2 linked regions of the Oryctolagus cuniculus genome follow. The main gene of each other region encodes a partner of the protein of the gene in region 2 in a complex. Links are inferred from orthologs where the notes say so. Each region holds a gene or a part of one and is shown on either strand. Other genes may lie near its edges.

Region 1 (3,745 bases), on a different chromosome or scaffold from region 2:
TCTGGCAGTTCCACACAGTAGTTGGCGCCCAACGGGGGGTCCCTGAGACTTGCATGTAAAACTAGTCTAGATGTCTTCTTTTTTGTAAGTTTTATTTTTGTAATTGTGCATGTAAAGCATCATTGAATCAATGGATCTGTTGAAGAACTCAGCTGCTGGAAACCATGCAAAATGTTTTGAATTGCCCTTAAAATATGGAAAATGTTTTCTGAATGCTTTATATTCTTTCTGCTGTAAATTAAAAATGAAGAAAATTTCCCCATACTATCCGTGTTTTGCTTTAACTTGACCCGTTCCCGGAATCCAAGGGGGTGAGCACGTGCCGGTTCCCAATGCCAACCCGTGATCCCGAACAGCGCTGGGCGGACGCCTTCCTGAGCGAGAGTCAGTCCTGCAGACGCCCAGCTTTGCAGTTGAAGTCCCAAGCCCTGGGCCAGTGTCCCGGCCAGCGGCCGTCCGCGCCGGCACCGTCCCACGCCCGTAGCGGCCCCCGCCGGCTCCTCGAGGCCCCCGGCCCCGCCGGCTGCCGCGTGCCCGGCGCGTGCCCAGCGCGGCCGGCCCGGCCCGACCCCCGACCCCAACCCGGGGCGCGCGCTCGCTCCTTCCTCACGTGACAGACGCGGCCAAGCCGGCACTGCGTTCCCCACTCCCACCTCACACTCCGCCTCGACCCGGGCGCCCCTCAGCGCGGCCGGCGGCGGGCGCTGACAGACACCGGTCACAAACGAAAACACCCGGAAGAACGTACAGAGCCCCGCCCTCGCCCAGACAGTCCCTGTCCCGTACCGCCTGCTCCCCCTGACCGCGTCCCCAGCGGCCAGGCCCCCCCACGCCGCCATTGCCAGTGGCCCGGGGCGGCCGCCACAGGCCCCGCCGACGGCGTTAGGACGCAGACGGCGCCTCGCGCTGGCCCCGCCCACGTGGGCGCCCACTTCCGGCGCGCCCGGCCGCGCCCGATGACGTCATTGCCGCCGCGCCACCCCACCCATCCCCGAGCCTAGGTCCTGGGCTGCGCAGCTCGGAGGACTCTCGCCCCGCCGTCCGCGCCTCCGCCGCTGCCAAAATGTGAGTGACGCGACGGGGCGCGGGGCGGCTTCGGGGCCCGCAGGCGGCGGCCCGCGGCGGGAGCCGTCGCACGGCCCGGTGGCTGCCTGCCGGTCGCCCCTCCGCCGCGGGCCGAGCCCGTGAGGGCGTTGAGTGCGTTCCGAGGCCTGCGGCGGGCAGCGCCCGCGGGAGTGCGGGCCGTGGCAGGGCCTAGCTGTCGCCGCGGCGCCGCCGGCCGTCCCCAGGGCCCTGCCGCCGGCGGGCTTCCGGGAGGAAGTGGCTGCGCCCAGCCCTGCAGCCCGGCCCTGCCCCGCGAGGTCCCCAAGAGCAGCGCCGGCGACCGCGGGGCCGGGAGCGGCGGCCTCGGGACACGGCAGCCTGGCCGGGGCCTTGCTGCTCCTGAGCGAATGCGTTCCTGGGGCTGCGGCCCTGGAGACCGCTGTTTCCAGATTCGGTTGTCCAGCATCGCAGGGCCCCGGCAGTCTCGCCTCCAGCCCCTCGTTGCAACCCCTGCGGGGAAAACCAGCCCAGCGCCCGAGGGGCGCGCCCGTGGGACGTCCCTGGGGAGGCCGCTGTGCTGGTCAGCAGAGCCCCGCGGACCCCCGGAGCCGGTGAATGCCCCCTGGAGTGACTGCTAAACCTCGTGTTGAGGGCATCGGCAGTGTCCCCCCCACCCCAAAGAGTTAGGATCCAAGGAGCCCGCGCGGGGCGTGGGCCCTCTGCGTGCTCTCGCGGACACTCCACGCAGAACAGCGTGGGATCTGCCTTATTCCCCGGCTGCTGACGCGCGGCAGGTTTTAAATAACTGATGTTGTGTGGCGAGGCAGGTGCTCCACGCATTATTATTATTATTATCATTTTTGGACAGGCAGAGTGGACAGTGAGAGAGAGACAGAGAGAAAGGTCTTCCTTTTCCGTTGGTTCACCCTCCAATGGCCGCCGCGGCCGGCGCGCTGCAGCCAGTGCACCGCGCTGATCCGAAGGCAGGAGCCAGGTGCTTCTCCTGGTCTCCCATGGGGTGCAGGGCCCAAGCACCCGTGCCATCCTCCACTGCCTTCCCGGGCCACAGCAGAGAGCTGGCCTGGAAGAGGGACAACCGGGACAGAACCCGGCGCCCCGACCGGGACTAGAACCCGGAGTGCCGGCGCCGCAGGCGGAGGATTAGCCTAGTGAGCCGCGGCGCCAGCACTCCAGGCATTCTTGAACACGGAGGAGAGAATTCTAGGACCCAGGAGCCCGTGGTTTGTCAGGAGAGAGGTGACTGGTGACTGTCCGGCGCCAGCCAAGCCCTAGGGGAGCTCCGGGCCGCAGTGGCCAAGAGAGGGAGACTTGGAGGATGAGTCGGTCGCTGAGAGGATGCGATGCTTCCTCGCCATTCTCGAACATTCCACGGCATCCCCCCCCCCCCCCCCCCGCCCGGTGTTCCTACGCTGTGTCTGTAAATGAGTCGCTATTAGGAGACACCGGAACTCTTATTCCTCTGAAAGCATTGTTGCCGCAGTGGAAGGGCCCGGGGAGTCCTGAGTGCCGAGAGCGGCCTGTGTGTGTGCCCGGCTGGGGGTCGCTGCTGTGTACCAGACTCTACCGAGCCTTCCTCCTGGACTCCGGTCCCTCGGATGTGGGCAAATTGGTAATCTTGGAGGAACTGTTCAGGTCTACAGGCAGGGTTCTCTTTCGCTTTGGTTGTGATGTGAGCGTTGTCCGCACTGGAGTCCTGGGGAATGGGATCGCATCCTAAAGCTGACAGTACTGTATTGGGATTCCTGACCGACTCATGCTGTGCCTTTCCGCGTTCCAGGTCCACGGGTGCACCTGCAGGTTCCAGCGCTGCTGCCGGCAGCAGAAGACTTCAGCAGACGCAGAACCAAGTGGATGAGGTATCGCTCGAAATGCTGGGAACGTAGATTTAAACAAACATGGCAGCGTGCCGAAGATAATTCTGTTTAGAAAAACTCTCGTAAAGGTGTGAATGGAACATCAGTGTTGAGTTATCATAAAGGTAGTGAATCTGCCCTAATCTAAGCCAAAGTCAGACTCTCCGGGAACCTATATAGAATCATGTACATAAAACAGTCTCCCTGAGGGCATGCCCCAAAAGTGTCTTATTAAAAAAAGTAACAGAACTTTAAGGATTAGGTCTAAGATTGCTCATGCCAGGACCAGTCCTTCTGATGGATATACATGTATTTTTAAATCAAAACGCTCTGTCCTTTAGCCTGACCTACACATTACCCAGTCTGAGCAAGTCTCTGTAGAATTCATCTGTGACAGTTGCCCATTGACACACAGAAGGCAGTCTCTGGCAAACTGCAGCTCAACACATCCGTATTTATAGAATTCTTTTTTTTAAAAAAAAGATTTATTTATTTATTTATTTGAAAGTCAGAGTTAATACACAGAGAAGACGAGGCAGAAAGGGAGACAGAAGCCAGGAGCTTCTTCCGGGTCTCCCACATGGGTGCAGAGGCCCAAGCACTTGGGCCATCTTCTGCTGCTTTCCCAGGCCACAGCGGAGAGCTGGATCGGAAGTGGAGCGGCTGGGATACAAACTGGTGCCCTTATGGGATGTTGGCACTGCAGATGGTGGCTTTACGCTTAGGCCACAGTGCCAGTTCCCTAGAATTCTTGAGCAATAGATGTTCACAGAATCTTTTTTTTTTTTTTTTTTTTTTTGACAGGCAGAGTGGACAGTGGGAGAGAG
Region 2 (3,645 bases):
TCCAAACTATCCTCCTGTGTCTACTGAAGTGGAACCAAGCATTATCAAGAAATTCAGTGTCTCAGAATAAGAACGTCAATATCTCCCAGGCAATAAACACACAACATAAGAGAAGCCAAAACAAGATTATAGATACATAATTACTACAAGGAAGTAGAAATTATGTCAGATTTGTATGGTATAGAATATTAGATTTTGGTGCCCTAAGTCTCTTCATAGACTTTTCTTTCTGTTCTGTTCTAATTTTAAGCCCCCAGCCCCATCTCTTCCCATTCTACTTTCTCCATTCTTCTTTATGGCTCTTGTTGACACTGATGGTCTTAAAGCTAAGCCTAGTGTCCGTGTGTGAACTCAGTTTCATCAAGTGGTAATTTTCCTGTTTTGATATTTGAGGATGTGAACTGTTGGACTGGAAATGCAAACCAGGTCTTGAACTATGATTCATGTTTTGGCATTTCTAACAACAAAGCACATACACATCGCCTGTTAAACCAACTGTTCTTTCTCTCATTTCCTGATTGAATTGCTTTGCCATCTCCAGTTGAAAATTCCATTGTTTAAGACTCTACTCAAATTCACCTTTTCTCTTGAGATTTTTTCCAATCCATGCTCCTTGAAATCTTTCCTTATTTAACCCTTTCAGCATTTTATCTGTAGATTGTCTTGGTGGTGATAAATTCATATGATGGTTAGTTGTCTCCCATAGGGTAAGAATGGTGTTTTCCTCATTTTCATATGTCTTACCACGCCTAGTACAATACCTGGCATATAGGAGCCTGTGACAAATAGCCAGTAGGTTAAATTCTACCTGTTTGTCTTCACTCCAGTTCTGTTGCTGAATCCTGGGTTTTCATTTAGGAAAATTACAGGGGAAATTTCCAAGTATCAATAGACCTGAATGGAATGCCATGGTTTGAGGGTCCTGTTGTGCCCTTCATGCTTCCTATTGGTTATTTTGGTAGTGACCAACAGTAGCCACCTGCTGACTGCCACGTGCTCACCTTCTCCATGATCCTGTCAATCTGGCGATTCTGCGTATCGATCTCATTGCCCATGTCCAGGGCCATGTGACGCAGGTTCCCAATGATACCGCTCACCTGCTCCAGGTTTTCATCCATTTCATTTTCTCGTGCATCATTTGTTACCCTGGCAGCCAAGTAATATTTTTTAGAAGAGAGAGGGTGAGAAAAATCTTGAATAACCAGGACACAAAGCTTAGGGAATGTCTGTAGAACTTCAGGCATCTATTTTATCTGTCTTTATTCTCTATTCAAAGCAAGAACACAGTTTAGCTTTCATACATAAGAAAGTAATTTTATGCTTCATTTTTAGGGAAAAGGAGGGGGACATATAGGAGGAAAAGGATATGTGTGTATGTTTGTATGTATTTAGGGAGGTTCCTGGAGGAACATCGTTTGGCAAATGCTTTCCTGGAATAGCAGCTTAGAATTTTTTTTGGTGTAAATTGAGCCAGAACTTTGAACATAAAAAGAAACTTCATAATTGCTTCCTTTCTGTATAGCCAACTTGCTAAATAAATGCAGCATTTGGACTGGAAAAGAAGTAATTTTAAAAATTGCATTTTGAACCCCTGAATTTCTATTTTTAAAGAAAGTATATTTAAATAGATTGGTTTATCTACTTTTCTCACTTCTACCAGCATATCTTTCTCACCTTCATGTTTACCAAAATTTTTATTTTTTAAGGATAAAATCATATTAGTTGGAAGTACTACAGGTCATCAAACGAAGGTTGAACTAGATAGAAACTATATTTTTCTTTCTGTAATGTCAACCAAAGTCTTCAAGATTCAAATTGAGAATGAAAGAAAATGTTTAGTGTGTTGAGTCAGAAAACCTTTCTACTCTTCTCTTTTTCCATTTGGGACCAACATCAACAGGAAGAGTAATAATGATAATGACAGTCTGCCCCATTAATCCTGCTTGCTTCTAAGAACTCCAAAGGGACTTACTTATTCAAGATTAATTTTATTCATTCACATTTTAATGCTATGATTTTTTAAAGTAGTATATATGAATGAGTAATTTCAAAGTAGAAAACTGTGATAAAAGATTATTGTTTTAGTTTGAATCAGGTGAGAGTGGGGAAGAAGGAGCTGGCTCACATAGCACTTTACTATCTTGCTATTTTTTCACAATCTAACTTGAAAGTTAAGGTACTTGATTGCAAATGGCAAAGGCTTATTCTAGAATTTTTCTCAGTACATAAAGGTACTTAAAAATTTTGTCAAGGGATAGGTGCTGTGGCACAGAAGGTTAAGCTGTTTGTGATGCCAGCATTCTGTGTCGGAGCACCAGCTTGAGTCCTGGCTGCTTTGCTTCCAATCCATCTCTCTCATGATGTGCTGCAAAGCAGGTAGAGGATGGCCTAAGTACTTGGGCCCCTACCACCTATGTGCGAGACTTGGATTGAGTTCCTGGCTCTTGCCTGTGAACTAGGCCAGCTCCAGTTGCTGTGGGTATTTGGGGAGTGAACTAGCTGATGGAAACTCTCTCTCTCTCTCTCTCTCTCTCTGCCTTTCAAAGAAATAAATCATTTAAAAATGTGGAAAAATGGATTTTTGGTGTCACTTTTTTGAAACCTATGCATAGTTTTTTCATAATATGAAAATTTCATGAACTTTTTGGAGACCCTTTATCTGCTTCCAGTTTGATGGTTCTTGGCTCTGATTGCAACCATCTGAGAAGTTTAAAAAGCAAAGATGTTGGTATCCTATTTCAAGAGAGTCGGATTCAGTTGGTGTGCATTGCACAAATTGTGTGAATATTTTAAAACATTTCCTCAGAAGACTCTGATATGCAGCCATTGGCTGGAGAACCCTTGGTTCAGTTTCCCTGGAAGCAGACAGAAGCAGGAATACACTTGACAATGGTCAGGTTCTAGGTACATTTCCATGCCTTACACTTCAGTGCAGTGACACATCACTTAAATGGCAGCTATTGGTTGGTCAATAGTGGCCCAGGAACAGGTAATTACACAAGTAACTACTCTGGCCACTAGTGAGTCCTGGTGTAAAGGCAGAATATCCTTTATCTAAGATGTTTGAATGAGAAGTGTTTCTGACTTTGAATTTTTGGGGGATTTTGAAATATTTGTATAGACATTATAGTATATCTTCAGGAATGGACCCACATTTAATTGTCAAATTCAGTTATATTTCATATATACCATATACACATAGTCTGAAGATAATTTTATCTTTATTTTTTTGTATTCCTTGGTGTTGACTGCATCCCATCACATGGGATTAGGTTTGAAGTTTTCACTTGTGGCACTCCAAAAATTTTGGATTTCATATTTTTGGAAAACCTGAAAATCAACCTGTAGTAGCCTGTAAAAAGATATAATTTTTTTCCACCAGAAATACTTTGTTGTTATTCTGCTTTCTGGTCTCCTAAGAGCTAAGTTCTGAATTAGCTGATATGTTTAATTTGAGAGTTTTAAAATACTTTAAGTTGGTTTTTGTTTCTAGATCTCAAAAGAAATAAAAAACTCATTATTCTCTATTTTCATCACAAATTAATTCTCTAACCATCTTTGTGCCTTGAAAGGCTGACCTCCATGGCTATATCAGCCACTTTCTCCTACCCTCTGGCTTCCAGTGGCCTTTGGCTAATGGTCAAT

The links.
Region 1: the proteins of SNAP25 (region 2) and VAMP3 are in contact, whole or in part, in a crystal structure (PDB 5KJ8), measured with the Rattus norvegicus proteins. The link is inferred for Oryctolagus cuniculus from reciprocal best matches to the Homo sapiens genes SNAP25 and VAMP3. Residues at the interface, in NP_112253.1 of Rattus norvegicus: Asp147, Leu150, Glu151, Val153, Ser154, Ile157, Leu160, Arg161, Ala164, Leu165, Met167, Gly168, Ile171, Asp172, Gln174, Asn175, Ile178, Asp179, Ile181, Met182, Ala185, Asp186, Asn188, Lys189, Ile192, Ala195, Asn196, Ala199, Thr200, Met202; in NP_476438.1 of Rattus norvegicus: Ser15, Arg18, Leu19, Gln21, Thr22, Gln25, Val26, Glu28, Val29, Ile32, Met33, Asn36, Lys39, Val40, Glu42, Arg43, Lys46, Leu47, Glu49, Leu50, Arg53, Ala56, Leu57, Gly60, Ala61, Gln63, Phe64, Ser67, Leu71, Lys74.

What each region holds. Positions count from the first base shown.
Region 1 is NC_091438.1:159,935,304-159,939,048, reverse strand, and holds the start of VAMP3 (vesicle-associated membrane protein 3), read left to right. Parts: upstream 1-910; 5' UTR 911-1,063; coding exon 1,064-1,065; intron 1,066-2,842; coding exon 2,843-2,921; intron 2,922-3,745. UniProt on the Homo sapiens protein: SNARE involved in vesicular transport from the late endosomes to the trans-Golgi network.
Region 2 is NC_091442.1:35,237,558-35,241,202, reverse strand, and holds part of SNAP25 (synaptosomal-associated protein 25), read right to left. Parts: intron 1,147-3,645; coding exon 1,002-1,146; intron 1-1,001.